4 linked regions of the Saccharomyces cerevisiae S288C genome follow. The protein of the gene in region 3 binds, or shares a complex with, the protein of the main gene of each other region. Each region holds a gene or a part of one and is shown on either strand. Other genes may lie near its edges. A codon is read from its position in the direction of its gene.

The links.
Region 1: the proteins of CNN1 (region 3) and WIP1 are in contact, whole or in part, in a crystal structure (PDB 6YPC), measured with the Saccharomyces cerevisiae proteins. Residues at the interface, in NP_116704.1 of Saccharomyces cerevisiae: Ile270 (codon at 6,466), Lys271 (codon at 6,469), Pro272 (codon at 6,472), Leu273 (codon at 6,475), Asp277 (codon at 6,487), Leu278 (codon at 6,490), His280 (codon at 6,496), Leu281 (codon at 6,499), Thr282 (codon at 6,502), Phe285 (codon at 6,511), Leu286 (codon at 6,514), Asn289 (codon at 6,523), Arg290 (codon at 6,526), Ile291 (codon at 6,529), Ile292 (codon at 6,532), Leu293 (codon at 6,535), Pro294 (codon at 6,538), Gln296 (codon at 6,544), Thr297 (codon at 6,547), Thr300 (codon at 6,556), Ile301 (codon at 6,559), Glu304 (codon at 6,568), Ser305 (codon at 6,571), Asn307 (codon at 6,577), Ile308 (codon at 6,580), Met309 (codon at 6,583), Phe311 (codon at 6,589), Leu312 (codon at 6,592), Lys313 (codon at 6,595), Leu319 (codon at 6,613); in NP_001032576.1 of Saccharomyces cerevisiae: Met1 (codon at 2,882), Asp2 (codon at 2,879), Thr3 (codon at 2,876), Glu4 (codon at 2,873), Leu6 (codon at 2,867), Tyr9 (codon at 2,858), Leu10 (codon at 2,855), Arg12 (codon at 2,849), Gln13 (codon at 2,846), Leu14 (codon at 2,843), Ser15 (codon at 2,840), Ser37 (codon at 2,774), Gln38 (codon at 2,771), Glu39 (codon at 2,768), Tyr40 (codon at 2,765), Asn41 (codon at 2,762), Lys42 (codon at 2,759), Leu44 (codon at 2,753), Leu45 (codon at 2,750), Leu46 (codon at 2,747), Cys48 (codon at 2,741), Gly49 (codon at 2,738), Phe50 (codon at 2,735), Gln51 (codon at 2,732), Ala52 (codon at 2,729), Ile53 (codon at 2,726), Leu54 (codon at 2,723), Arg55 (codon at 2,720), Ile57 (codon at 2,714), Leu58 (codon at 2,711).
Region 2: the proteins of CNN1 (region 3) and CTF3 are in contact, whole or in part, in a crystal structure (PDB 6YPC), measured with the Saccharomyces cerevisiae proteins. Residues at the interface, in NP_116704.1 of Saccharomyces cerevisiae: His280 (codon at 6,496), Leu281 (codon at 6,499), Arg283 (codon at 6,505), Gln284 (codon at 6,508), Asn287 (codon at 6,517), His345 (codon at 6,691), Glu346 (codon at 6,694), Leu347 (codon at 6,697), Leu348 (codon at 6,700), Pro349 (codon at 6,703), Leu350 (codon at 6,706), Glu351 (codon at 6,709), Gln353 (codon at 6,715), Ser354 (codon at 6,718), Glu357 (codon at 6,727), Ser358 (codon at 6,730); in NP_013485.1 of Saccharomyces cerevisiae: Thr91 (codon at 2,553), Pro92 (codon at 2,556), Thr93 (codon at 2,559), Val94 (codon at 2,562), Gln141 (codon at 2,703), Phe142 (codon at 2,706), Ser143 (codon at 2,709), Phe144 (codon at 2,712), Arg173 (codon at 2,799), Met176 (codon at 2,808), His177 (codon at 2,811), Pro178 (codon at 2,814), Gly179 (codon at 2,817), Tyr180 (codon at 2,820), Thr210 (codon at 2,910), Asn212 (codon at 2,916).
Region 4: the proteins of CNN1 (region 3) and MCM22 are in contact, whole or in part, in a crystal structure (PDB 6YPC), measured with the Saccharomyces cerevisiae proteins. Residues at the interface, in NP_116704.1 of Saccharomyces cerevisiae: Asp338 (codon at 6,670), Phe341 (codon at 6,679), Glu342 (codon at 6,682), His345 (codon at 6,691), Leu350 (codon at 6,706), Gln353 (codon at 6,715), Ser354 (codon at 6,718), Glu357 (codon at 6,727); in NP_012669.1 of Saccharomyces cerevisiae: Tyr205 (codon at 4,163), Arg206 (codon at 4,166), Leu209 (codon at 4,175), Arg210 (codon at 4,178), Asn212 (codon at 4,184).

Annotation. Positions count from the first base shown.
Region 1 is NC_001136.10:1,220,559-1,227,638, reverse strand, and holds WIP1 (Wip1p), read right to left. Parts: upstream 2,883-7,080; coding exon 2,613-2,882; downstream 1-2,612. Other genes in the region: ARH1 (NADPH-adrenodoxin reductase), read right to left, coding at 1-817; bifunctional AAA family ATPase chaperone/translocase BCS1, read left to right, coding at 1,103-2,473; PHO92 (mRNA-binding phosphate metabolism regulator), read left to right, coding at 3,245-4,165; FRQ1 (frequenin), read right to left, coding at 4,308-4,880; VPS74 (Vps74p), read left to right, coding at 5,490-6,527; CTS2 (putative chitinase), read right to left, coding at 6,691-7,080.
Region 2 is NC_001144.5:877,441-884,786, forward strand, and holds CTF3 (Ctf3p), read left to right. Parts: upstream 1-2,282; coding exon 2,283-4,484; downstream 4,485-7,346. Other genes in the region: YLR379W-A (uncharacterized protein), read left to right, coding at 4-276; CSR1 (Csr1p), read left to right, coding at 842-2,068; leucine--tRNA ligase NAM2, read right to left, coding at 4,627-7,311. UniProt on the Saccharomyces cerevisiae protein: Component of the central kinetochore, which mediates the attachment of the centromere to the mitotic spindle by forming essential interactions between the microtubule-associated outer kinetochore proteins and the centromere-associated inner kinetochore proteins.
Region 3 is NC_001138.5:241,880-249,817, reverse strand, and holds CNN1 (centromere-binding protein CNN1), read left to right. Parts: upstream 1-5,658; coding exon 5,659-6,744; downstream 6,745-7,938. Other genes in the region: PRE4 (proteasome core particle subunit beta 7), read left to right, coding at 1-752; alpha-ketoglutarate dehydrogenase subunit KGD4, read right to left, coding at 924-1,295; RMD8 (Rmd8p), read right to left, coding at 1,684-3,672; BNA6 (nicotinate-nucleotide diphosphorylase (carboxylating)), read left to right, coding at 4,652-5,539; MRX20 (Mrx20p), read right to left, coding at 6,819-7,736, 7,809-7,820. UniProt on the Saccharomyces cerevisiae protein: Component of the kinetochore, a multiprotein complex that assembles on centromeric DNA and attaches chromosomes to spindle microtubules, mediating chromosome segregation and sister chromatid segregation during meiosis and mitosis.
Region 4 is NC_001142.9:672,689-680,328, reverse strand, and holds MCM22 (Mcm22p), read left to right. Parts: upstream 1-3,550; coding exon 3,551-4,270; downstream 4,271-7,640. Other genes in the region: MET5 (sulfite reductase (NADPH) subunit beta), read left to right, coding at 1-1,372; TTI2 (Tti2p), read left to right, coding at 1,623-2,888; protein transporter TIM8, read right to left, coding at 3,095-3,358; SGM1 (Sgm1p), read left to right, coding at 4,477-6,600; XPT1 (xanthine phosphoribosyltransferase), read right to left, coding at 6,709-7,338. UniProt on the Saccharomyces cerevisiae protein: Component of the kinetochore, a multiprotein complex that assembles on centromeric DNA and attaches chromosomes to spindle microtubules, mediating chromosome segregation and sister chromatid segregation during meiosis and mitosis.

The sequences.
Region 1 (7,080 bases), on a different chromosome or scaffold from region 3:
GTCTATTGAATGCACGATCGTACTTAGATGGGTCAAACATTTCTTTCTGGAAAAATTTAGGATCAATACGGCCACGTATGCCATACTTTTCTAACTCCCATAGTTCTCTTAATTCTTTGTTGGTGAATTTGGAATGAACGAAATCCCTTCGTGCAATTAGCTTAACGTCCTTTACAGGTGCCCTTCTTAGCAAATTTAGTGCAAGAGATGAGATGTCCGTATTTTCCCATATTTCATCAATTTGATTAGAAATAAGTACACGCGTAATATCAAGAGCAACGTTACCGTTTCCTATAATACCAACTTTCGAAACTTTGCTCCAGTCAAAATCGGTAAATCGCTTATCCTTTGCGAAATCAGGATGACCATTGTACCAATTGACAAATTCTCTACTGCTAAACACCCCTTTTGTTCCGAGTTCGCCAGGGATATTCAGCTTTCTGTCCCCTGTACAACCATAACTTAAAATAACAGCATCTTGATTATCCAGCAATTCCTTCAACAATATTTCTTTTCCAATGGTTATACCACCAACAAAGGAAAATTTATGCTTTTGGTTTGTAGGGGAAGAAAACTCTTCTGCACATGTGGTAAACGTTTCTTCACAATTTTTGACTTCTGGATGATCAGGTGCCACACCATATCTACTTAAACCAAAAGGAACAGGTAACTTTTCCCATATAGTAACATTTAATGGAATCGGTGACTTCTTGAGTAAATGGTACGCTGTATAAAAGCCGGAAGGCCCCGATCCAACAATGGATACAGTCTTACGGTTTATTTGTGAAGAAATGTGCCTTATTTGAACAAAGCTCATTTTCACAAGTAATGAGCTAAAAAAGGAAGAAGAAAGAGTGAGAAACTTTCTAAATGAATGAATGAGGCGTTGTGGCCAAGAACTATAGCAAGCAAAAAACTTTCTGTTACGTTCGAGCTATAGTTTACTGCTCTTCGAATTATATCTCGATTGAGTTACCCTTAAAGAGTGCCGAAAAATCGATGTAAATAGTATAAGTAAAGATTTCCACTCTTCTATATTTGCAACGCAGTAGACGTACCAAGGGACGATTTGAAAAAAAATGAAGTGTGCCCTCAATCTACCATGTCGGATAAGCCGATTGACATACAATATGATAAACAGGCTACTCCAAATCTGAGTGGTGTAATTACTCCGCCAACAAATGAAACTGGTAATGACTCAGTCCGGGAAAAACTTTCAAAACTAGTTGGCGATGCTATGTCAAACAATCCCTATTTTGCCGCCGGCGGTGGTCTTATGATCCTTGGTACAGGTTTAGCTGTAGCTAGATCCGGTATAATAAAAGCCAGCAGGGTCCTATACCGACAAATGATTGTCGACTTAGAGATTCAGTCGAAGGACAAATCATACGCCTGGTTTCTAACATGGATGGCCAAACATCCTCAAAGGGTATCTAGACACTTATCCGTTAGGACAAACTACATACAACATGACAATGGATCAGTTAGTACAAAATTTTCGCTGGTTCCGGGTCCGGGAAATCATTGGATTCGTTATAAGGGTGCTTTTATCCTGATTAAAAGAGAAAGGTCCGCAAAAATGATAGATATCGCAAACGGGTCACCATTTGAGACCGTAACCTTAACTACACTGTACCGTGACAAACATTTGTTCGATGACATTTTGAACGAGGCTAAAGACATAGCCCTGAAGACTACTGAGGGCAAGACTGTTATTTACACTTCTTTCGGCCCTGAATGGAGAAAGTTTGGTCAACCAAAAGCTAAAAGGATGCTGCCCTCCGTCATTTTGGACAGTGGCATCAAAGAGGGTATTCTCGATGACGTTTATGATTTTATGAAGAACGGCAAATGGTACTCTGACAGGGGTATCCCATATCGCAGGGGATATTTACTCTATGGCCCTCCCGGATCTGGTAAGACTAGCTTTATCCAGGCTTTAGCGGGCGAATTAGACTACAACATTTGTATTTTAAACCTCTCCGAAAATAATTTAACAGATGACAGATTAAACCACTTAATGAATAACATGCCAGAAAGGAGCATACTATTACTGGAAGATATTGACGCGGCGTTCAACAAAAGAAGTCAAACTGGTGAACAAGGTTTTCATTCTAGCGTAACATTTAGCGGTTTACTGAATGCCCTGGATGGCGTCACATCTTCTGAAGAAACTATTACATTCATGACTACCAATCATCCTGAAAAGCTAGACGCGGCTATAATGAGACCAGGTCGTATTGACTACAAAGTCTTCGTTGGTAACGCAACTCCATACCAGGTAGAAAAAATGTTTATGAAATTTTACCCAGGTGAGACTGATATATGCAAAAAGTTTGTAAATAGTGTTAAAGAATTGGATATCACCGTAAGTACCGCCCAGTTGCAAGGACTTTTCGTTATGAATAAAGATGCACCACACGATGCGTTGAAAATGGTCTCCAGCTTACGGAACGCTAATCATATTTTCTAGGTGCTAAGTGGCGCCTTACTACATAACTTGTATATAATAAAAATTCAGAAGATGCTTTAACTTTTTCTCGTTAATAAGACCGAGTTATTTGCTATTACGAACAAAAGAGTATATGATAAAGAGGCTTAAAAATACCCCTTCATTGACTATCCAGAAAAGCCTGCGTTGCAGCTTCAATATGATAAGGATATACTTCCCTCAAACCTTCTGCAGTTGCCCTTGTTCTAGCATCCAGCAGAATTTTTCTTAAAATGGCCTGAAATCCACATGCCAATAATAATTTCTTGTTATATTCTTGACTAGACTCTTGATCTTCATTTTGCCGTTGGAGAAGATCTTCTAGCTTATTCTCCTCCGCATCTAAACTAAGCTGCCGTAGCAAATAATTGGCCAATGCTTCCGTATCCATGGAAGAATGTTAGGAACTGTTGCTATTGTTGTACTTTGGTTATACGACAGTAAGTAACGTTGACTTGGTGACCGAAAATAGACACGAAATCGCTACCCGTTTCCCCAGAATATCACTCCTCACGATGTACCTCGGCGGCTAATCTTTTTGGTAGCCTTTTGTGATATATATATAAATAAATAAGTATACATACATATATATATATATATATTTATACAGCTACATTGTTTTCCTCCAAAATTTTCTGTTGGTTATGAATCGCAAAAGAAGTTTTCAGATTGTGTCCTCTGTTACTATTTCGTTAAGAAAGGAAGATATCGTCTACGGCTGGTGTGACGTAAGTATTGCGTTGTGCTCTAAAAATGAATCAAATCTGGTCTACAGGTCCCCCAAATTTTTACTTCAACTCTGAATGGAAAGAAAATAAGAGAAATGACAGGACAATTGAAGACTCTTTAAGAGAACTAGATGGGTTGATCCATTCCTTGGAGAGAACTCATATTGAAGTACAAACAAACCCAAAGCTAAAGAACGATGTCACAGCTTTAAATGATATTAACAAGAAAGAAAATAAAGAAGAGATCACTCATGAAAACTATACACACCAGATTAATAGTATTCCATTGACAAGCTCAAATTTAAATCGGCATTTCTCCTTTTCTAGAGACTACAACCAATCTGATAATAGCAATAATAATTATTACAGGGAATATTTATCCAAACCAAGGTATTTGCAGCAGTCAACTAAAGAACAAACTTTCAATGAAATTAATAAAAGAAAAAGTGCTGCAATTATTCCCCCTTGGTTAAATATTCCAGAAAACTCAAGATTTTTTGTAATAAAGTCCTCGTCTTTGAAGCATGTCAAAAGGTCGTTTTACAACGGAATTTGGTCGTCTACTCATTTCGGCAACAAAAGGCTATCTGAGGCATATAAAAAGCTTAATTCGGGAGCCAAAGTGTTTTTATTTTTTTCAATCAACACATCAGGAAGATTCTGTGGCGTTGCAGAAATGGTATCGGATTTGAAAATGGATTTGGACACCAGTATATGGGAAGATGAACAAAAATATGGCAAAGCCTTTAAAGTAAGATGGGTGATCGTGCGTGATATAAATAACAGATCGTTAAAAAGGTTTTTGATACCATCCAATGAAATGAAACCGATAACACATTCCAGAGATACTCAAGAAATTCCATATTCGATTGGAATTTCAATAATTAATCTATTTAAAACTCAAGATTCTGATATTTTCTCCTTCTTGGATGAGACGTATGAATAGACCTTATCCCTCATTTATCAACATTTTATTCTCATTTATTATTAGTATTATTATTATTTTTAATATTATTTTTATTTAAAATTATCCTAAAATTACTTCTACTGTTATAACATCCAATCCATAAGAAGCAAAAACAAAGTTTTCATATTAAGCCATCGTAAAGGTTTAAGGCACCAATAATAGAGGGATCGACTTTAGAACCTTCTCTGAATTCGTCCAGCGTAATGTAACCATCTTCGTTCTTATCCATCAACTTGAAGATCTTCTTTACCCTCATTTCGGGCGTTGCCTCATCCTCATTAAGTGTAACCATAGACCCCATCATTTTATAAACACTCGCCACAATGGTTAGCATTTCATCAAATGTAATATATCCATCATGGTTCAAATCATAAAGTTCGAAAGCCCAGCTCAGTTTTTCCTCCAAAGTTCCTCTGGACGTTGTACTCAAAACTGTGATAAACTCTTCAAAATGTATGAATCCATTGTTGTCTTTATCAAAAACTGTAAAAAGGTGATTAGCAAAATCTTCAGGAGAACCAAATGGAAAAAACTGTTTGTATATCTTAACAAAATCTTCCCTAGCTAGTTGGCCACTAGGGCAATCCCTCAAAAATCCTTTATGCCATTGCTGGATTTCTCTTCTATCAAAATAGGTGGATTGTTTCAAACATGTCAGGTCATCTTTGGAAAGCTTTGACGTCTTGGCTCCCATTTTTTTTTTGAATCAAAAACAGTTTTCAAGCACAAAATAACTCTCGCCGATTCTTAAACTAGCAACAATTATAAAACAGGAGGTAATATCCCTAGTTCATCAGTTCAATCGTTGACAAATTAAACATTATTTCAGTACTCTATGGTATAATAATAAAAAATACACCGAAGAGTTACCCTTTTTTCGTTTTTAATGATCAATTCTGGCTCATTTTTTTACTTCCTGAGCAGTCAACTACTACTGAAAAAAAGAGGCTAATGGGTACGCATTTACCTAAAAACAATTAGATCCCTGCCTTGGATCGTAATCTTGTTTATCTATCCTTTTTGGACATTGACATCTATTTGTGTCGCAGTTAATTGCTTTCTGGGTACGTTGACTTTTTCAGTTCTATATCGGCCCGTTGCTTACTCTGTTCAACTCACTTATTCTTTTGTTTCGGTTTGGGCTGCTGCATTTATAGATTAAAAATAAATTTCAAATTTCCACGCTAACAAATAGAGCTAAATTAGCAGTTTCATTGTTGGCTATATTTTCATTACAACTTTTGATCTGATAACGTAAAAGAATTCAAACAAAAACTATCTAAAAAAATACAAAGCAAAAATCATGTCTACTTTACAACGTCGTAGAGTCAATAGGGCGGATTCTGGAGATACTTCCTCCATTCATTCTTCTGCTAACAATACCAAAGGAGACAAAATCGCAAATATTGCTGTTGACGGGGATGATGACAATGGAACAAACAAAAAGATTGCATATGACCCAGAAGAATCGAAATTGAGAGACAACATCAATATCCCTACGTTAACGTTGATGGAAGAAGTCTTATTGATGGGCTTAAGAGATAGAGAAGGATATTTGTCGTTTTGGAATGATAGTATTTCATATGCTTTGCGTGGTTGTATAATTATAGAATTAGCGTTAAGAGGTAAAATCAGAATCTTAGATGATTCCGCCAGGAAAAGGTTCGATCTTTCCGAAAGGTTGATTGAAGTTATTGACAGTTCCAAAACTGGGGAAGTTTTACTGGATGAAACTTTGCAATTGATGAAAAACGACGAACCTTTGTCAATTTCTAACTGGATTGATCTTTTAAGTGGTGAAACATGGAACCTTTTAAAGATCAACTATCAATTGAAACAAGTAAGGGAAAGATTGGCAAAAGGTTTGGTCGATAAAGGTGTATTGAGAACAGAAATGAAAAATTTCTTTTTGTTTGACATGGCGACACACCCCATTGCAGACGCCAGCTGCAAAGAAGCCATTAAGCGCAGAGTACTTTCTGTACTCGTATCGAGGAACATGGAATTAAGTTACAATGAATATTTTCCGGAGACAACATCTTTCAAAATCATTAGAACTTTAGCTTTAATATGTGGATCATATGGGGCAAACGTATTGGAGAATGTCCTGACTACGTTGGAATATGAGAAGAGAGATAAGGCAATTAGTAGAGCTGAAGAAATAATGGCACAATTTTCGCAATACCCATTTGATTTAGAAAAGGAAACTGAGTTAGGTGTCTCCGTTAATTTAAACAAGGAAGTTAAAGAAGAGATAGAAAACAATCCTGGTCATGATTTACAATTGGAAGTTATTGCTGGTGTATTTGAAGTCTTTTCAAGAATGGATATGCTATTATGAAAATAACAACAAAAATCCTCTCTTTGAAACATAAGGAAAAGTCAAGCTTTTTTTTATAAGCCTCTAACATTAATAAACGAAATTTGTATATATGTATATACATATACGGAGTGGATAATAAATAGACCAAACTTTTTGTTATTATATACGCCCACATTCGTATTCATTGCTTTCTTGAATCCAAATGCTTTAAATATGGAGATAAAAATCCGCCATCGCCATATTTATTCAAGTAATATTTTTTAACTCTCACATCTTGAAATATTGATGGTTTTGATGACACATTAAAGTGCAAGCCTTCATTAAATGCGTTTATCAACGACCTTGACTCATTTGCATAAGCTTCACCACATGACTCCCACCAAAAGCCTCCGCCTAAATTGTTATGTGTCACATATTCAGCCTTAGTTTTGACTGATTTAGTGTTATCATAACTGATAAATATTGAATTTTTTTCATCAAAGCAATATGCTGAAACATATTTTGGATCGTATTGTTCTATTGTACCAATCTTTGGTAAATTTTTGTAAGGCCAGATGCCCTCCTTGCCATC
Region 2 (7,346 bases), on a different chromosome or scaffold from region 3:
ATTATGCTTGTTGTTTGGCAAAAGTTGCCGAAAGAAAGAATGAGAGAGAACGACAAAGAGAATGAGAGAGAACACGTAAAGCGAAAAATCTGGAGCGCTGCCGCGCCGGGTAACAAGTGTGAAGAGAGAGAGAGATGTAAGGAAGATGAATACATTCAATACATTCTAGCTTATAGCAAGCTTTCAGCAGGCTCAATTGCTTATAGCGGTATAACTGCAACAAGAGTGAAAATTAATATGGTGACGAACGACGGATTCGGTAGTACAGTGTTATAATGCCGGCAATTACCGTATGCCATCGGAATCCAGATGCATTTCTGAACCTTTCCACTCGGGAAAACCACTCGTCATGTCACACGGAGAGTTGGCCATGAACTGGCTAATGGGATGGTCTAAGGCGACCACTGTAAGAAGAACAAGAGATGATGCAAGCTAAAGCAAGCAGGTCTCAAATAAACGCTACTTGTGCCGTTGACAGCTTGTTTATCTTGCACATGGCAAGGCCATCGCGTCCCTGCGTCCCAAGAGTGCGCGGTATACGTGCGGCCCTAAACGAGGCGGTCTCTGTTCTCTGATATATTTCTTTTCTTTCTTCGTTGTTTTGTTTCGTGTTTGTTGAGCTCCTGCCTTCAATCGGCATCGTCCTCTTGCGTACGTACATAAAATCGTTACAGCTTTGTTCACATGGTGAAAACAATAGCGTTTGGTACGCTCTTTAAATCTTGGCACTTGTCACTTACGCTCCTTTAAACAAAATCAAACATACAAATATACGGATACGTACGCACACAGAAGCATAAAAGCACAAAAGCACATAAGAAGACCACATATAAACTAGATTATGTCCTTTGATAGACAGTTGACCGAAGACCAGGAGGTCGTCCTTAAGCAAATTTGGACACACCTTTTCCATCTGTGGCAAGTTCCCGTGGATGGAACTCATATTTTCCCTAATAACTCCCTCCACTCCTCGTCCACCCCTGCTAAGAAGAAGAAATCATCCTGGTTTAGCAAGCTTCAGTCCTCAGACCATACACAGGACTCCAGCGAAGCCGCTGAAGCGGCACACCTCTATGAAAAGGGCAAGATACACAAGGCACTAGCCAATCTAGACCCGCAAACGACCAAGAAGCAGTTCTGGCACGATATCAAGAATGAAACTCCAGACGCCACCATTTTGAAGTTTATCAGAGCCAGAAAGTGGAACGCAGACAAGACCATCGCCATGTTGGGTCACGATTTGTACTGGCGCAAGGACACTATTAACAAGATCATAAACGGTGGCGAAAGAGCTGTGTATGAGAATAACGAGACCGGTGTCATTAAGAACCTGGAATTGCAAAAGGCCACCATCCAGGGTTACGACAATGACATGAGGCCAGTCATCCTTGTGAGACCTAGATTACATCATTCTTCCGACCAAACTGAACAGGAGCTGGAAAAATTCTCCCTGTTGGTCATCGAGCAATCAAAGCTTTTCTTCAAAGAAAACTACCCCGCATCCACCACCATCTTGTTCGATCTGAACGGGTTCTCCATGTCCAATATGGACTATGCCCCCGTCAAGTTTCTAATCACTTGTTTTGAGGCTCACTACCCGGAATCTTTGGGCCATCTACTTATCCATAAGGCCCCTTGGATCTTTAACCCGATTTGGAACATCATCAAGAATTGGCTGGATCCGGTCGTCGCGTCCAAGATTGTTTTCACTAAGAATATCGACGAATTGCACAAGTTTATCCAACCCCAATACATCCCTAGGTATCTGGGCGGAGAAAATGACAATGATTTGGATCATTACACTCCACCAGATGGCTCTTTGGACGTCCATCTGAAAGACACCGAGACTCGCGCTATGATCGAAAAGGAGAGAGAAGAATTGGTCGAACAATTCTTGACTGTCACTGCCCAATGGATTGAACACCAGCCATTGAACGATCCAGCATACATTCAACTGCAGGAGAAAAGAGTACAACTTTCCACCGCTCTTTGTGAAAACTACTCCAAGTTAGATCCGTACATCAGATCAAGATCCGTTTATGACTACAATGGTTCTCTAAAAGTTTGAGCCAAGCCACGCGACGCTCCATACTGTATAGACCTTTATTATAAAAACATCTATTTCTTTATATGTCCCTCTATCTTATTTTTCTTTTACTTTTATTTGTATAATACGCGAAAAATTATAGAATCATTTATTATCAAAAACAATCAACTATGAAATGAAAAACAATACGCCTGCTAATACGGTTCGCCCTTCAATTTTTGTTTTTTTTACATGAATGAGTCTTATACTAGATGATATCATCCTCTCACTAACGAATGCTAACGAACGAACGCCACCACAGGCCCTTAAAACCACTTTAAGCCTGCTATACGAAAAATCAAAACAATATGGTCTTTCTTCGCCGCAACTACAAGCACTTGTAAGGTTACTCTGTGAAACTTCCATAATAGACACAGTTACAAAAGTGTACATCGTCGAAAATTGCTTTTTACCTGATGGCTACTTGACGAAGGAACTTCTTTTGGAGATTATTAACCATCTCGGTACGCCAACGGTATTCTCTAGATATCGCATACAAACGCCTCCGGTCCTACAATCTGCGTTGTGCAAATGGTTAGTGCATGTTTATTTCCTATTTCCTGTACATTCAGAACGAGAACACAATATATCCAGTTCTATCTGGTTACATTTATGGCAATTCTCGTTCTTACAGAAGTGGATAACTCCCCTGGTTATTTGGCAAGCCACGACGCCCGTTGATGTCAAACCTTGGAAGTTGTCTATTATCAAGAGATGCGCTATGCATCCAGGTTACCGGGACGCTCCCGGTAGTGCGACGCTTATTTTGCAACGATTTCAATGTCTCGTGGGCGCATCCAGTCAGATTACTGAATCAATAATTACCATCAATTGCAATAGAAAGACTTTGAAAAGTCATCGAAACTTAAAATTGGATGCGCATTTCCTATCCATTTTGAAAAGAATATTATCCAGAGCACATCCCGCTAATTTTCCCGCTGACACTGTCCAAAACACAATTGACATGTACTTGAGTGAAATTCATCAATTAGGTGCTGATTCTATATACCCACTTCGACTTCAATCACTTCCAGAATATGTTCCCTCTGACAGTACGGTCTCTCTTTGGGATGTCACTTCATTGGAACAATTAGCTCAAAACTGGCCACAATTGCATATTCCCAATGATGTAGATTACATGATGAAGCCATCTTTAAACAGCAATGTTTTACTGCCGCGAAAAGTCATGTCTAGGGATTCTCTCAAACACTTGTACTCTAGTATCATTCTCATTAAAAATAGCCGCGATGAGTCGTCATCACCATACGAATGGTGCATTTGGCAATTGAAGCGATGCTTTGCACATCAGATAGAGACTCCGCAAGAAGTTATTCCCATTATTATTTCGGTGTCCTCAATGGATAATAAACTGTCTTCTCGCATTATTCAAACGTTTTGTAATTTGAAATACTTAAAACTCGATGAGCTTACGTTGAAAAAGGTTTGTGGCGGAATCTTGCCATTATGGAAGCCTGAACTAATCAGTGGTACAAGGGAATTTTTCGTTAAGTTTATGGCCAGTATTTTTATGTGGAGTACACGAGATGGTCACGACAATAATTGCACATTTTCTGAAACTTGTTTTTACGTTTTACAAATGATTACAAACTGGGTTTTAGATGATAAATTGATAGCACTCGGGTTGACACTACTGCATGACATGCAAAGCCTGCTAACTTTGGACAAAATCTTTAACAATGCTACTTCAAACAGATTTTCTACGATGGCTTTCATCAGCTCGTTAGATATTTTAACTCAACTGTCGAAACAAACGAAGTCGGATTATGCGATCCAATATTTGATTGTGGGCCCTGACATCATGAATAAAGTGTTCAGTTCGGACGATCCTTTGCTATTATCAGCTGCGTGCAGGTACTTGGTTGCTACGAAAAATAAATTGATGCAATACCCGTCAACAAACAAATTCGTTCGGATGCAGAACCAATATATCATGGATTTGACAAATTATCTTTACAGGAATAAAGTTCTGTCATCCAAAAGTTTGTTTGGAGTCTCACCAGATTTCTTTAAGCAGATTTTGGAGAATCTTTATATCCCAACTGCAGACTTCAAGAACGCTAAATTTTTCACGATAACTGGTATACCAGCGCTATCCTACATATGTATTATTATTCTAAGACGACTGGAAACGGCCGAAAATACCAAAATAAAATTCACCAGTGGGATCATAAATGAAGAGACGTTTAACAATTTCTTTCGAGTTCATCATGATGAGATTGGCCAGCATGGTTGGATAAAGGGCGTTAATAACATTCACGACTTGAGAGTAAAGATTTTAATGCATTTGAGTAACACTGCTAATCCATATAGAGACATTGCAGCATTCTTGTTTACATATTTGAAGAGTCTCTCAAAGTATAGCGTTCAAAATTCTTAGAATATGCATCCACATTTATATACATATATATATATATATATATATTATAACTTCCAAAAAGGAGATTGGACAATTTATATCTATAAGGCATTAATATTTAACTATTTACAAGCACTAGTGGTAAATTCATGGCGTCATATGATTACTTGTGGAATAAGAAACTAATCACATTGAATTTCATGACAAATTTTTTGATTTTTTTATTCATCAAATACATTCTCCCTTCCGGTAAGTTCATCAAAGTTTCAATAACAGCATCCCTACCTAATTTCAAAAAGTTTTTGTCAGCCGTGTACATGAATTTGACTCTGCCATTTACCACAATTTGAAACTTTTTGAATTTGGACTCAGTAGTGCGCTCAACTTCTGGCCAGCGGTATTGGTTCCATTCCATTTGGGAGTTGATCATCTCTGCAGCTTCTTCTGAAATTGACGGGACAGCAGGATATATAACGGTTACCAACTTTTGTAAATTCTGTACTATCATTTCATTCCTTACTTCACCTTTTTTCAATGCACTTTCTAAAATATTGGTTAGCTTCATATAATCAGATATTACAGTGTTTAACGATAGATTAACTTCAAATGATTCCGTAATTGATTTCAAGAAGCGTTGGAAATCGTTGTGAAATTTCACTTCTGCATCATTTAAGTCGGTCGGGGTCTTGTAGTCTTTACTTATTGCCAAATCCTTCTCGAGACTGAGAATATTTTTGGTCAAATGAAGAACCTTCTGCAACCAACGTTCTATACCAACAATCTTGGATTCATCCCAATTCAGGGCATCTGCAATTGGACTTTGGAAGAGGATATGTGCTCTCGTAGCATCAGGTCCATGTCTTAAAATACATTCATTTGGATCTGCACCATTGTATTTAGATTTCGACATTTTTTCATAAGAGACTACCGGAACCTTGCCATTTGATTTAATAATCACTGTGTTGCCATCTGGAGAGTCATTTACAAAGGTTAACTCGTCAGGCTTCAAAAATTTACCAGAATCGGGGTCAACATAGGTTTTCCCTTGAACCATTCCTTGTGTCACCAGTTTTTTGAATGGTTCGAAGATGCCAGCAGGGTCGCTCCATGCATTGATAGATCCGAGAAATTTAGCAATAAACCTTGAGTATAACAAGTGTAAGATAGCATGTTCTACTCCACCAATATAAATATCAACCGGCATATTTTTACTTGCAATTTCACGATCAAATGGTTTTGAAGTGTTTTTGGGATCCAAGAATCTGAAATAATACCAAGAACTATCGATAAAAGTATCCATGGTGTCAGTTTCTCTTTTCGCAGGGCTCCCGCATGAAGGACAGGCGACATTTACAAATTCATCGATTGTGGACAGCGGATTCCCTTTTGTATCCAAGCCTTCAAGTTCTGGTAGCTTGACAGGTAGATCACTTTCTGGAACGGGGACAGGTCCACAGTTGTCGCAGTGAATGATGGGTATTGGAGTACCCCAGTATCTTTGTCTACTTATCAGCCAATCTCTAATTTTGTATCTAACGACGCTCTTAGACAGTCCTTCGCTATTCAACATCCCCATTATCGATTTCCTTGCCACTACAGTGAGAACTCCTGAGTGTTCTCCGCATTCTTTGGTTAGGACACCGTCAGTAGATGTGAACGGGACAGTATCAATTATTCTTTGTCTTTCCTGTTCAGTTACTTTTGAAGCATCGTCAAAAAAAGGTGCTATGCACGTCTTGATATGTTCACCAGGACAATTTGTTTGCCAAAACTCAAAATCTCGGTTATCGTGTCCTGGACAACCCATTACTGCACTAGGTGCTGAACCATAGCTGCTGACCACATATGGAGCTGCAAATATGGGGACTTCCTCTTTAGTTAAGGGATTTACGGCCTTTATGTTAGGTAACTGAAATCCTTCCTTCGTATCGTTTGGTAATTGATCACTTTTCTGTATAAACTCTTTTAAATCCGGCATTTCCTCGCAGTATTTTTGTACAATTGGGTGGTCTAATGCGAGAGCAACATACTGTACAGCAAAAAGAGTTTCCGGTCTTGTTGTAAAGACAATCAAGTTTTCAAATTTGGGGTCCGCAACTTTGAACACTAATTCTGCACCCACAGATTCGCCTATCCAATTTTTTTGCATTTGCTTCACGTTGGAAGGCCAGTCCTTCAGTTGGTTCAAGTGCTTTTTCAATTTAGGAGCGAATTTCGTTATTCCCAAAAACCACTGTTTTAGCTGCTTCTTTTCCACAATAGCCCCTGATCTCCAAGAACGGCCCTGGGCATCCACTTGTTCATTAGCCAAAACTGTCATATCAACGGGATCCCAATTAATTTCTGCTTCTTTACGATAAGCTAAGCCATTTTCAAAAAGTTTTAAGAAAATCCATTGGGTGAATTTATAGTATTCGGGATCACATGTAGTTATTTCTCTGTCCCAATCAAAATTTGCCAGCATACTTTGCATTTGTTGTTTCATTTTTGCAATATTGTCCCTAGTCCATATGGCCGGATTAATGCTTCTTTCTATAGCAGCGTTCTCGGCAGGTAACCCAAAAGCATCCCATCCCATCGGATGTATCACGTTGTACCCTTTTTGTTTGTAAAATCTATTCAAAGAGTCGCTAATGACATAAACTCGGAGATGTCCTATGTGAAGCGCCCCAGAAGGATATGGAAACTGGCACAGAATATATTTCGACCCGCTATTCAGAGTATCCTGCTTAGGCAAGCCACGGGTTGTCTTCTGTTTCCATTTCTCCCCAATTGCAATTAATTTTTTCACTGCAGGTCCAGGGCCCCTTTTAGTGGATAGGAATCGGCTTGAAGGTCGAGACAGCATTTTTCCACCGTACACACACGTCGATTTATTCACGT
Region 3 (7,938 bases):
GTGCTTACAATACACAAATTGCGAACGCAGGCGCCTCTCCCATGGTTAATACACAGCAACCAATAGTAACAGGTACTTCCGTCATATCAATGAAATATGATAATGGGGTTATCATTGCAGCAGATAATTTAGGTTCATATGGCTCTCTTCTAAGATTCAATGGCGTGGAGAGGCTTATTCCCGTGGGTGATAACACCGTTGTGGGCATTTCAGGTGATATTTCTGATATGCAACACATTGAGAGATTATTGAAAGATCTAGTCACTGAAAATGCGTATGACAATCCTCTAGCGGATGCTGAAGAAGCGCTCGAACCCAGCTATATTTTTGAATATCTAGCTACCGTCATGTACCAGCGAAGATCAAAGATGAATCCACTTTGGAATGCCATCATTGTTGCTGGTGTACAGTCTAATGGTGATCAATTCCTAAGATACGTAAATCTTCTAGGTGTTACGTATTCGTCTCCCACCTTGGCCACAGGTTTTGGGGCACACATGGCAAACCCACTGTTAAGGAAAGTTGTAGATCGAGAATCTGATATTCCAAAGACCACTGTACAGGTTGCTGAAGAGGCGATCGTAAATGCAATGAGAGTTCTTTATTATAGAGATGCCCGTTCTTCTAGAAACTTCTCACTGGCCATAATTGATAAGAACACAGGTTTAACTTTCAAGAAAAACTTGCAAGTTGAAAACATGAAATGGGACTTCGCCAAGGATATTAAAGGCTACGGTACTCAAAAAATTTAGAAGAGTTTTATCCCACCTTCATTAAATACTCATTTTATTTTTATTTTTCAATTCATAATATCATCACTCTTCTCTCTTCCTAAGTAACTACGTTTTTACATAGATATAATGATATGTGTAAAGAAACTATAAAATAACAAAAAAAAATCATAATATTACTGCATCTATCCTTCACCATGCACCACCGCTATTTATGCTCTCCAATTCATGCTCGTTAATAGGTTTGTACCGAAACCTAGCAGGTAGCTCGAAAATGGAAGCAAGCTCATCTTTTTGCAATGGCCTGTTAACGAATACAGAGGTCTTTGACGAGCTGAGACCAGCATTAGCGCTATGCTTTATTGGCACTACACGGAATGGTTTATAATTTTCCATGAATTTACTCACTGGAATACACTCTTTGCTGCCAGGTAACATTCCGTTGGTAGCGCAAGGATGAACAACGACCTCAGTTGCATGCTTCACTAAGGGATGCCTTGTACCGACGAATTTTATCATCGGCTCATATGCACTCTTTGCTAATCTTATAGGTGTAGCAATCATTTCCCTGTCTTCTTGTACTTTTATCTTACTCTTATTATCGGTTAAAAACCTGGGGAAGTACTCCTTAATGGTTTGCTTTAAAGAATTCAATGCGGCTAGAAATGAAAAAGACTTTTAAGATCACTGAAACACTGCAATCTGGCTAAAATATTAGTCTTCACTATCGTCTTTTTCTCCTTTGTTGATGCGAAAGATGAATTTACATATTCGAGTCCCTTAGTCATATTATTGTACTTTTAATGCAATCTTGAGGGGAGCCAATCAACGAGTGGTTTTACTTGCACGTGACCAAGAATGGTAATAACGGTGAAATATATGACTAAAAACCTTGATAACTAAATATATCATTAATTTATTTTTAATGCCGTCTAGAAGGGTGTATGAATATCTATGTAGAAGTATGACGATGAATAATTACATAACGAACGAAAATCTCTGTTAATGAAAATATAACTCCAAATAAAATGACAAGAATAAACCACCATGTAACACGAGCCATGTTTCTTTCAGCAACAGAGTCAACGCATATATCAAAGAATTCCAAGAAAACTTTGCAACGATCATTTAATACTTGTACTCTTTGGTCAATTTCTAAATACTCCCTCATTGCCACGTACAGTGGATGCAAACTTGGTTCGAACGACCAAAAAAACTCGGGTGTATCCAATATGGTGGATGAAAGGTTAACATCCACTCTCAATTTAAAGAGCTTCCCTGATTTTTTCAAAAGCTGTTCCCTTTTTAACCCAAGGGTACCATATAATGCTAGTCTTTTAGGTAGTTTTGTGACTGATATTAAAATCGGCGAAATTCTGGATTCAAACCTTGATAATTTCGAAGATTGCGCAATCGCATGTGATAGTGTCAGCTCGATAATGTGGTCACCTGAACGTAATGTGACAATATCATTGAAAATTCTCGGTCTCTCGGTATCTCTGTCATATTCGAAATGGAATTGTTCAGTTTCAATATCTTGTTCATCCAGCGGCCGGATCATTAAATTCTTATAATCTGCAAATGTTATATCACCAAGAATATTTTTCTCTTGAATTTCAGTAAAGTTCCAAAAAACAATAACGCCATAGTGAAAAATGAAAATTTCTGCATGTCTATCATTGCCTTCATGGTCGTTGTCCCTATGCATTTTATATACACGATCAAAATCATTCTGTGATGAAGATGGTGGCGATGGCGTAGATATTGATGATGGCGAAGCTGGTGAACGAGAGGACTGTACATACTGATCGTTTCCCTCAACAGCATAAAGTTTACTCTTATCATTATTTTTATTATTATTATCGTTGCCACAACTTGCATCACTGTCGTTTTCCTCCTTCTTCAGCATGTTTATTCTTTCTGTCCTTTCCCGTTTCTCTATCTCTAAGGGAGTTTCTTCCGCAAAAAATTGTGGTTCCATAGGATTAAAAGAGTCTTGCTGACCAACTGGATTTGGTAGATGATCGGGAACTGTTGTGGTGTCTTGATTAGCGTTATTGTTATTTCCACTGGTTTCTAGTTCGTAATTATTATTTGCATCTTCCACAGTTTCCACACCTGAGTAATATTCATAATGATGATCTCTCTGTTCGCTTGTATCAATTAAATTATCAATTAATGTCTTTCCACCCATTGTTTTCTTAGATAAATTTGATTTGATTCTAAAACCGCCTTTACCTGGTAGAAGTGGCAAAGTATACGCAACGTATAGACACTCATCATACAATCTTGGTGAAACCTCATGAGTTTCCTGCAGAAACTTATACAATTGGTTGAGATTGAAGCCATCAGCAACATTATATGCGGTGATTCTTGCCATGGACTTTTCTTTTGAGTATCGAGGTAGCCGATCGAAGGAATTAGACTTCATAGAGCCCACTTTCGGTCTTTGCCTATCCAGCGCGTTCGTTGGTAGAGTTTGAAAGTGGTTCAAGTTGTCGTCTTCCGGTATCAACACTAACTTTTGTGACGTCTTCGATGTTCTTGGAGGCAGGGGATTGATCATCTTTCTACGCGAACTTAACCGCTCATATTGGCGAGGCCTATCGCTTGAAGAGCTGGATAGCCTTTCCTCTCTTCTGGCAGAGGGAATATCTGAATTATCAGAAAGAATATTATCTATGGATATATCGCTAAACCTGCCAGACGATCGCCTTCTTGGATGAGTAAAACTCTGCAGCGGAGAAGGGCCAATAGCGGAAGAGCGAACTCCTTGAGACTTCGTAACTCCTGCGTTTTCCATATTCTTCCTACTACCAGCAGCGTGTCCAGCGAACGGTGCACTCATTCTATTCTTGGATGTTCTTGCATCTGTCACCAGGATGGAAGGTGACCTTTTCGGCATCTCCCCAGGAGATGGTTGGTTAGCCTTATAACTCATACTGTCGTCTTAAATGGAAGTCCTTTCCTTTGCTCCATATGCAATTTTGCATACGAACTTCCGATTGATATAATCTTGTATTAATGTATGCCTAACCTGGTTTTGTTTTTCTTGTAGGTTTTTCTAGCCAGTTTTACTATAAATTGTCACTTTTTCCTAGTAGTCAATTTGAAAAAAAAAAAAATATATGGGTAATTATAATAACAAGAAGTGTTCTTCTGATTGTCGGAGATGCCTCTAATGCCAATGCACAGGCTTCCATAAAGTTTTCAAGCATGACAGAAAGCTAACTTGTCTTTTACTTCTTTGTTGGGCACACTTCTCATTTTTAAAAAAAAGATTTCCACCTTCACGATCATATCTGAAATGAACTGAATATTTTGTTCTTGTGAGAATAAACTTGTCTACTAATCGCAAATTTTTCAAGATTAACCTTCCGCACCCATTGAGGTACTAAACTGATCTACCCTACCTTTCCTAAATACCTAATGTCAGGTACATAATGCCAGCGACAGCTCAAAATCACGGGATACTAATTATTAAATAGTAGTAGCTTCTTCTCCACGCACAGTTCGATCGAAGGAGCTAATATTCGGCTTGTCATCTTCCATGGCCAGTAATTTTTTTTATTGTCATTTGGGACTAATGAGATGGAAACTAGAATTGTAGTTATACATCCTGAGGTTTCTATCAACTTGTGTGTCACAACGTTTTATATACTTGAATGCGTAGTAGCAAACCCCGGCAAGACGTAAGTTAACTTGTCAAAGGTACAAGCTTGGTTACAAACAATGTGATATTTCGCTCCAGGATATTTTTGCTTTTGGTGACGCCGGTTGGTTGAAGAGCCCCCATTTATCATGACTCCTACCGCAGTTTTCGTATATCTTGGGCCATAAATTCGAAAATTAAAGACACCACTTAATAACGCAACAAAAAGAACGCAATCCTCAGAAAGAACACACACCAAAAAAAAAAAATGCCTGTTTATGAACACTTATTGCCCGTTAATGGAGCATGGAGACAAGACGTCACCAATTGGCTGAGCGAGGACGTTCCTTCTTTTGATTTTGGTGGATATGTTGTTGGTTCCGACCTAAAGGAGGCCAATTTGTACTGTAAGCAGGATGGTATGCTGTGTGGTGTCCCCTTTGCGCAAGAAGTCTTTAATCAGTGCGAATTGCAAGTTGAGTGGTTGTTTAAGGAAGGCTCCTTCTTGGAGCCTTCGAAGAATGACTCTGGTAAGATTGTTGTAGCTAAAATTACTGGGCCCGCTAAAAACATTCTATTAGCTGAAAGAACCGCCTTGAACATCCTTAGTAGAAGTAGTGGAATTGCCACCGCCTCACATAAGATAATCAGTTTGGCGCGTTCGACTGGTTACAAGGGGACCATTGCGGGGACAAGAAAGACTACACCAGGTTTACGTAGATTAGAAAAGTATTCCATGCTTGTAGGTGGCTGCGACACGCACAGATACGACCTTTCCTCTATGGTCATGCTCAAAGATAATCATATTTGGGCTACTGGTTCTATAACAAACGCAGTTAAGAACGCCAGGGCCGTGTGCGGGTTTGCTGTGAAGATCGAAGTGGAGTGTTTGAGTGAAGATGAAGCCACAGAGGCCATTGAAGCTGGTGCAGACGTTATCATGTTGGATAATTTCAAAGGTGACGGTTTGAAAATGTGCGCCCAAAGTCTTAAGAACAAATGGAATGGTAAAAAGCATTTCCTCTTGGAATGTAGTGGAGGCTTGAATTTGGACAACCTCGAGGAGTATTTGTGCGATGACATTGACATTTACAGCACTAGTAGCATTCATCAAGGCACACCAGTGATTGATTTCTCATTGAAACTGGCTCATTGAAAATGCTTAGGCTTCGATTTTTACTTTTTTTTATTTACATATTCTAAATAAGATTAAGAAGCTACGCGTTACCGATTAATGACACACACGACGATTAGTAACGAAATAAGAAATGAATAATGAGCACTCCCAGGAAGGCCGCCGGTAACAACGAGAATACAGAAGTCTCAGAGATCAGAACCCCCTTTCGGGAGAGAGCCCTTGAAGAACAACGTCTCAAGGATGAGGTACTGATCAGAAATACGCCAGGTTATAGAAAACTTTTATCTGCTTCTACTAAGTCTCATGACATCCTCAATAAAGATCCGAACGAAGTACGAAGTTTTTTACAAGACTTAAGCCAAGTGTTAGCACGCAAATCACAAGGCAACGATACAACTACTAATAAAACTCAAGCACGGAATCTAATAGATGAATTAGCGTACGAAGAGAGCCAACCAGAGGAGAATGAGCTTCTTCGGAGCAGAAGTGAGAAACTGACAGATAACAACATTGGCAATGAAACGCAACCTGATTATACTTCCTTATCGCAAACAGTATTTGCAAAATTGCAGGAAAGAGACAAAGGCTTGAAAAGTAGGAAGATTGACCCGATAATAATACAAGATGTTCCCACGACAGGACACGAGGATGAATTGACAGTGCACTCTCCAGATAAAGCTAACAGTATCTCTATGGAAGTTTTGCGCACGTCGCCAAGCATTGGAATGGATCAGGTAGATGAACCGCCAGTACGTGATCCGGTACCAATTTCCATAACGCAACAGGAAGAACCACTATCTGAAGATTTACCAAGCGACGATAAAGAGGAGACAGAAGAAGCAGAAAACGAAGATTATTCGTTTGAAAACACCAGTGACGAAAATTTGGATGATATAGGCAACGATCCTATCCGTTTAAATGTCCCTGCGGTGAGACGTTCTTCTATAAAACCGCTGCAAATAATGGATCTAAAACATCTTACAAGGCAATTTTTGAATGAGAATAGGATAATATTGCCGAAACAAACGTGGTCTACTATACAGGAGGAATCTTTAAATATAATGGATTTCTTGAAACAAAAAATCGGCACGTTACAAAAACAGGAATTGGTAGATTCGTTTATCGATATGGGTATTATCAATAACGTTGATGATATGTTTGAGCTCGCGCACGAATTGCTTCCCTTAGAACTTCAATCAAGAATTGAAAGTTATTTGTTCTAAAAAAGATACCGTAGAGAAAATAATTAAATAGTGGCAATTTATGTACAGAAAAGAGTAAAAGATCCACAAAATTATCAAGACCTGGAAGAGAAGCCTAGTAACAAACTAACCTGTTCATAAACAGTGAACGTTAAGCCTCCTGAAATACCGACTTTCATAAACCTAAAGATGGAGCCCTTCCAGAATGTGGCCATGCCTTCTTGAACAAATATTCTATACATGCAATTTAAGGTATTTTTATATTCAGTTTTGGCATTTTGACTCATCATCCTTGTTTTTACGACGTCAATGGGCTGAGTCATTGCCACGAGTGTAAAAGATGTGGCTAACCCCGTTATTACTGAGGATGCCTTGTCGTTTCTTGCTTGTAACAACCGTTTAAATGCTGTGTATGCAGTAAATTGAATAGAGGTGTTAGCTATCTGCCTAAATATGGTGGCTGTTGTTCCCTGGACGAACGCAGCAGGGCCTCTTGTTTGATACATGTGTTTTACCGCTGGAAGTAGTTTCTCGATACGAGCCACAGGAGTAGATTTAGTCGCCACCTTGTGAAAGGTTGCCTTTGCGTTAACTACAGGTTGATTCTTCTCTAATTTTTTATGATCGATCATCGCCGATTGGATAAGGGTGGTTTTTATGTTTTCAAAAGGGATAATAAACAAACTTTCTACTATTCCTGTCAACGTACCAGCGATCAAAAGGTTATAACCAGTCAGTCTTTGAAAATTATCATTATTATCAATGTTATTATTCAGGGAGTGGCATAACTTGTCGAACGTAACGAACCTTAAAATAGTCTTACCAAATGCGGCCACGTTTAGGGCAGAGCAGCCAACAAAGTACGACTTAATCTGAGGTAAAATGATTTCGAAAGCGGTACCCTTCGGTTGCAATTGTAAACCAGTCTTTAAGTACTCAAATGGGTATGTCATTGTCGTTTGAAACACAGCAGCTACACTGCCGGCAGTGATTTGCTTGTAAAGGTCAGAGTTCTGCAAACGAGAAAAAAGAGAGCGTTAATAAAATAGCATTAGCGTCTTGGAACGAAACAGTTTACTACTTACCTGGTTAGCCATGTCGGGTGCTGTTCTTACTGCCCTTTTTTTACGATTCGACTACCTGTGAGAGCAATTACTTTTTCAATTATATTCGATTGAAAAATAGCTTAATAAGGCGGAAGAAGTTCCCACTTCT
Region 4 (7,640 bases), on a different chromosome or scaffold from region 3:
CATGGTTTCTGCTCTACCAACCAATGCCAAGGTTCACCAACAAATCGCTGATATGGGAAAATTGATTTCTGATCATTTCTTACCAAAGACTACGGCCTACCACGAAGTTTGGCTGGAGGGCCCAGAAGAACAGGACGATGATCCATCCTGGCCATCTATTTTTGAAAACAGAAAAGATGGTCCAAGAAAAAAGAAGACTCTAGTTAGCGGTAACGCTTTGGTCGATATTGAACCAATTTACGGTCCAACTTATCTGCCAAGAAAGTTTAAATTCAACATCGCCGTTCCTCCATATAACGATGTGGATGTATTATCTATCGATGTCGGTTTAGTTGCTATAGTTAACCCAGAAACTCAAATCGTGGAGGGTTATAATGTTTTTGTTGGTGGTGGTATGGGTACCACTCATAACAACAAGAAAACTTACCCAAGATTAGGGTCATGCTTAGGTTTTGTTAAAACTGAAGACATTATTCCACCACTTGAAGGTATCGTTATTGTCCAAAGAGATCACGGTGACCGTAAAGACCGTAAGCATGCTCGTTTAAAGTATACTGTAGATGATATGGGTGTCGAAGGCTTCAAGCAAAAAGTGGAGGAATACTGGGGTAAGAAATTCGAGCCTGAGAGACCATTTGAGTTTAAATCTAATATTGATTACTTTGGATGGATTAAAGATGAAACTGGGTTAAACCACTTTACCGCATTTATTGAAAATGGTAGGGTTGAAGATACACCAGATTTGCCTCAAAAGACAGGTATTAGAAAGGTTGCTGAATACATGCTTAAGACTAATTCTGGTCATTTCAGATTGACTGGTAATCAACATTTGGTTATCTCTAATATTACAGATGAACATGTTGCTGGAATAAAATCTATTTTAAAGACCTATAAATTGGATAACACCGATTTCAGCGGTTTGAGATTATCTTCATCTTCCTGTGTTGGTTTGCCAACATGTGGTTTAGCGTTTGCCGAATCTGAACGTTTCCTACCTGACATTATTACTCAGTTGGAAGATTGTTTAGAAGAGTATGGTTTACGCCATGATTCCATTATTATGAGAATGACTGGTTGCCCTAACGGTTGTTCTCGTCCATGGCTAGGTGAATTAGCTCTTGTTGGTAAAGCTCCACATACTTATAACTTGATGCTTGGTGGTGGTTACCTCGGCCAAAGGCTAAACAAATTGTATAAGGCCAATGTGAAGGATGAGGAAATTGTCGACTACATCAAACCATTGTTTAAAAGGTATGCTTTAGAAAGAGAAGAAGGGGAACACTTTGGTGATTTCTGTATAAGAGTAGGTATCATTAAACCAACCACCGAGGGTAAATACTTCCATGAAGATGTGTCTGAAGATGCCTATTAATGATAGCATATGACATAGTAGGACATACTATTGGGTTTTCTTCCCACATTTATTTATTTTTTTCGCAATTGAATATAACTTTTTATTTTATAGAAACATATTTATTTGTATAATCTTGTATATTAACAGTTAAGACTCATTATTGTTATCCTTCGGCTAGTTCGGTTTTTCAATAGCAGATGAGAAACGAAAACTATGAAGAATGAAAACGAGGTGAAGAATAAAATCATATAACAAAATATTGAAAAGAATGACGGCCGTAACTGATATCATCGATGAATTGAATGATTCGAGTCTTTCTTCTACAAGGCTTCGAGAGTTGTGTCTCCAGTTACGAAAGAAGACAGATACTGGATGTGCAATTACGGTGTCCGATGAGGTCAACCTTATTGAATCTCTCTCATATCACTCCATATCTCCAGGAGTAGACATACAAATCAACACAGATGTTTTGCAGACTATAGATTACTACTTTCAGCGTAACAAAAGTGAACATGACGAAATTATGTGCGTCCTTATTTCTAAGTTACAGCCACTACTTTTAAAACGCAAAAGCAACTTCGAACTCAAAGAGCAACGTAATCTTGGTCTCAAACCCACGCTTGGAATGTCTTTGAAAGAAGATAACCTAATGCAGGCGTGGGTAAGTCAGGGTGGCTTGAAAGGCATTCCGTTATTCTACGTAATTCTGTTACATTTGAAAAGGAGAGACATATCTACGAATCTTTCTTGGATTATTCCAGGAATTCTAAACATACTAGATGATACCACTGATATAAGAAGAATTAAACTTCGTGGTGTTCTGCTCCTACAGACGCTATTAAATCATACCTTTATGAACGAAACCAATGACTCAAAATGGATACAGTTCTCTAGTACTGGTTTATTTCCACTGTTCGAAAAGACGCTAATCAATATGTGCTATTTTCTCCCTCCCTCATACAATGCTGATGAAACAATAGCCATATGGCGGGTCGTTTTCCCAACGATACAGTCGTTATATAAAGTAGAATTTTTGGACAATTACACAAAGTATCAATATCACCTGGAAAAGTTCATGTCAGAGATAATCTTGCAAAACATAATTCCTAGGGCTAGCCTTGCATACGAAAATTTGACGTTATACGCATTGGAATGCACAATGAACATACTGAGACTTCAAAGAGAAGGGTCTGTTGTACATCTCCAGAGGCTGATTTTTGTTTTAGGTGAATATATTGTACGAAATCCTTTTTACACAACTTTTCCAAAACTTATTTCAAAAACTCTTTCAGTGGTAAGTACTCTCATAAAGGTTTGCCCGAATGAAAGAATAGTGGCTCACAGATTCGACATTTTATCATTAATTCTAGTTACATACGATAAGTGTTCGCAAGAGGATGCGTTGAACGAATCAATACTACAACAATGTAAGGAAACGATAAGCTGGTTGCTGAATTGTGACTGCGCTATGGGTGAACAGTTATCGACTCTATCTAAGCAACCGCGGTTTCAGTTACTTTTTGAGTTCTCATAGGAAACAGACACAGACACAGACAAATGCATATACATATATATATATATATAACTAGACAGTATATAAACAAAAAGAGTTATTTGCCCTTTATGCTGAAGAATCCCTTTTAAAGAAACCTTGGACATATATTAAAATATTCATTTGCTTATTTACAGATATATTAAGGTAAAGAGAATAATGACTCGGAGAGATAAATCGGTTTCATATTAACGGGTGTTTTGCAACCCGTTCACAATCCTGATATTAGTATCCAAAAACCGATTCACACAGTTAGACAAACATTGCTCTTCTTGCGAACTTAAATTAGAATCATTGACAGACTCAACACATTTTTTGAAGCATATATTAGTGAATTGATGGATTGACATCTGGACTTTTTGTTTGGAGTTCTCTCCCTCCAAGAAAGTAGCAATTTCCTTTTTGGAAGTGTCATCAAGGGAGGCCAAATCAGACGTTGATAGAGAAGACATTCTTTGTTGTTTGTAAATTTGTTTTCCTTTTTACCTCTTCTTCAATACTTTCATATAAATGAATGTTTCCATCAATTTTTACGTTAGTTAATAACTAACCGTTCGCTTTGATATGCAGCGTAACAACAAACAAGACGCATATGACGACAAAGAGGGACAAGAGCAAACGGCAGAAAGTCTCACAAAGGAAACATGGATGTTGAAAAGGATGTCCTGGATGTCTACATAAAGAACCTGGAGAACCAGATCGGAAACAAACGATATTTCTTGAAGCAAGCTCAAGGTGCCATCGATGAGATCACGAAGAGATCTCTGGATACAGAGGGTAAACCGGTCAATTCTGAGGTCTTTACAGAGTTATTAAGAAAACCCATGTTCTTCTCAGAGAGAGCTGATCCTATTGGTTTCAGTTTGACATCGAATTTTTTGTCTTTGAGAGCCCAAAGTTCCAGTGAATGGCTCTCGCTTATGAATGATCAATCAGTTGATCAAAAGGCCATGTTATTGTTACAGAATAATATTAATAGTGACTTGAAAGAGCTGCTACGAAAACTGCAGCATCAAATGACCATTATGGACAGTAAGAAGCAAGATCACGCCCATATTAGAACACGAAAAGCCAGAAATAAAGAGCTTTGGGACTCACTGGCGGACTTTCTCAAGGGTTATCTAGTACCGAATTTGGATGATAATGATGAATCAATAGATAGCTTAACGAACGAAGTCATGCTGTTAATGAAAAGACTAATTGAGCATGATTTGAATCTGACATTAAACGATTTTTCATCTAAAACGATACCAATATACAGATTATTACTTAGGGCTAATATAATAACAGTAATTGAGGGCTCTACAAATCCAGGGACTAAATACATCAAACTAATAGATTTCAATGAGACCAGTCTAACTTAAGTAATACTTCGTAGTCAAAGTGTGCTTCGTAGTGGTGTGAGGATGTTATAAAGCGCCAAAATTTAGAAGATCATAATTTGGCAGTAACCGTAGATTATTCACCAAAAAGCTCTTGACTTCCTCTTTTAATAGACTGTCGTTAAAAGGTCCTTAGTCCAGAATAGTATATAAAAAGTGTTGTATGGTAGTGGTATACCAATTTTGCTATGAGTAAAAAATTATCGTTGGAAGAGAGACTCTCCTTGGCAACTAAGAAAGGAAGAAAGAAAAATAAAAGGTCAACGTCAAATTTGTCGTCTCCATCGCCTGTGGTGCTGTCAAACAATGAACAAGAAAGTGCTCGTACATCCATTGATGATGCGGCTGCCGGTGTGGTGTCAATTGACAATGCTGAAAACATAGATGATCCTGCGGTACGATCAGAAAGCACTGTGGAAGGCGATACAGGTAAGGCAGATTCAATCGCTGTCGATGACGTGGTGCATCCCGATCACAATAGGACTGATTGCTTCGACGACACTATGGTATCACTGCCTACATGGCTACCTAAAAATTACACTGAATTTACTGTTGAAGAATTAGTCAAAGAAATTAGTCCTGAATATTTAAGATTAAACAAACAGATTGATGACCTAACTAACGAACTAAACAGAAAATCACAAATCGAAACCACGGATTCTAGTTTTTTCAAATTGATTAAAGAGAAGGACGACTTGATAGATCAGTTGAGAAAAGAAGGAGCTAAATTAGCGGAAACTGAGCTGAGGCAATCAAATCAAATCAAAGCTTTAAGAACAAAAGTGAAAGACTTAGAGTATGAGGTATCTGAACTAAACGATAGTTCTGCTCAGAGTGTCGAAAACTATAATGAGCTGCAATCATTGTATCACAACATACAAGGACAACTGGCTGAAGCTACAAATAAATTAAAGGATGCAGATAAACAAAAAGAGTCACTTGAAACATTAGAGAAAAATATAAAAGAAAAAGATGATTTGATAACAATTTTACAGCAATCTTTAGATAATATGAGAACATTGCTTGAAAAAGAAAAAAGTGAATTTCAAACGGAAAAGAAAGCACTACAAGAAGCAACAGTTGATCAAGTTACCACTCTAGAGACTAAACTAGAACAACTAAGAATAGAATTAGATAGCTCTACTCAAAATTTAGACGCTAAATCAAATAGAGATTTTGTCGATGACCAACAAAGTTATGAAGAAAAACAACACGCATCTTTCCAATACAATCGGCTCAAAGAACAGCTTGAGTCATCAAAGGCCAACTGGGATAGTATTGAATACGCTTTGAACACTAAAATTGTGAACTTGGAAAACCGCTTTGAATCTACAATGAAAGAAAAAAATGATATTGAAGAAAAATATCAAACTGCCTTACGTTCATCTGAAACATTAGGTAAGCAATTAGAAAAAGAAAAAGAGAATCATTCGAAGGCAGTTTTGGAAGTGAAAGACTTGGAGAGACGGGCGGAGACATTGAAGTCATCATTGCAAAGTATAAGTGATGATTATAATCTACTGAAGAAGAAGTACGAAATTCAAAGGTCTCAGTTGGAACAAAAAGAGAACGAACTAAAACCACATCAAGAAAACAGCAATGAGAAAATTATAGATAAAATACCTGTAGAATTAACAGATAGTTTAAACTCCATGGAGGGAAATATAGAAGACGAATGGACTTTACCTCAAGAAAATTCTATGCTGTCATTATCAATGTCAAAACTTGGCGAATTAGAAAGCGATCCGTCTCTAAAACCCATTTACAATGAATCTCACGAAACCATATGTAGCGAAGAAAGCCAACATTTTGATAGAAAAAATGTGGATTTCAGCATTGACGATATTCCAGAAGAGGCCGCTGCTTTACAAGCAATCAGGGAAGGGGAATCAATGAACTCGTTAAACAACACATCAATACCATACAGAAGAGCTAGCGTCCAGCTATCGAATTCTAACGGCCACATAAGCGCTCATCTGGTGAACAAGTTAAGTACGGAGTTAAAAAGATTGGAAGGTGAATTATCAGCATCAAAGGAATTATACGATAATTTACTGAAAGAAAAGACAAAAGCAAATGATGAGATTTTAAGACTTCTGGAAGAAAACGATAAATTCAATGAGGTAAATAAACAGAAAGATGATCTCTTAAAAAGAGTTGAGCAGATGCAAAGTAAATTGGAAACCTCCTTACAACTATTAGGTGAAAAGACTGAACAAGTGGAGGAATTAGAAAATGATGTGTCCGATTTAAAAGAGATGATGCATCAACAAGTTCAACAAATGGTAGAAATGCAAGGAAAAATGAGATAACTAGAAATACACTCTTATCTTTAGATTTAGGTTAAATATGAAATAATTACCAATGATAACTATATGTATCTATATACATGCAACCCCATCGCAACATACTGTTTGTCATCAGTCATGACCTTGAGCCTTAGCGAGCATGGTATGTTCTTCGATATCTTCAGCGTCCCATGGATAGCACAACCACTTATCAGGGACAGTTTGCGCAGCAATGTAACGTCCAGAATTCATCATGGAGTCAGGTAGTCCAGCTCTCTTTGGTTTGTCCTTATTATGTAGAACAAAGATAGAAATAACGGTTTCCTCACTCATTCTATTCAAAACCTTTTGTTGTTCAGCAATCTCTTTTTCCAGCTCAGAAACAGCATAGTGGAGGGTAGTTCTAGTATCGTCAACTTCATCCACAATTAGGACCTTTTTACCAATTAAGGAATCGAAATGTTGGTTCAAAGCACCGAAGTCCAGCCATTGTGTTCTGATGACCTCTTTGCCGATAGTTTCGACGCTATTATCCAACCCTAAATCTTCATACAAAGATAGGCCGATGGCCTGAATCGGAATATTCTTTTGTCCTTTAGTTTTCAAAAAGGACCTAATAATTCTTGCGGGGATCATACCACCACCAGTGATGGCGATAATAATATCAGGTCTTTCGTTTCTAGCTAAGATATGTTTAGCCACTCCCTGACAAAGCTTGTGAATATTATTATAGGAGATGTACATTCTCTCATTTTCGGCCATCTTGGTACAAGTATATTTTGAAGTGATCAATGTTTATGAAATCTAGTACAAGGATGGGCTATGCAAAAGAAAGACTGACAAAACTCAGATATTTTTCTTTCCGATTTAACTACGATTCTTTCCCCAGCTTAGAGATAAAAAAAGCTTGTGATTTTTTTAGGTTCATCGCATTGACTCCAGATAAAAAAAAAAGATCTTGATATCAAATCAAAGTCAACTGGCCGAGGCAAAGGCAACAAACTTTGAGCATAATATCCTCTCTCTTCTATCTAAATTATGTAATCCAGTGTTTGTTTCAATAT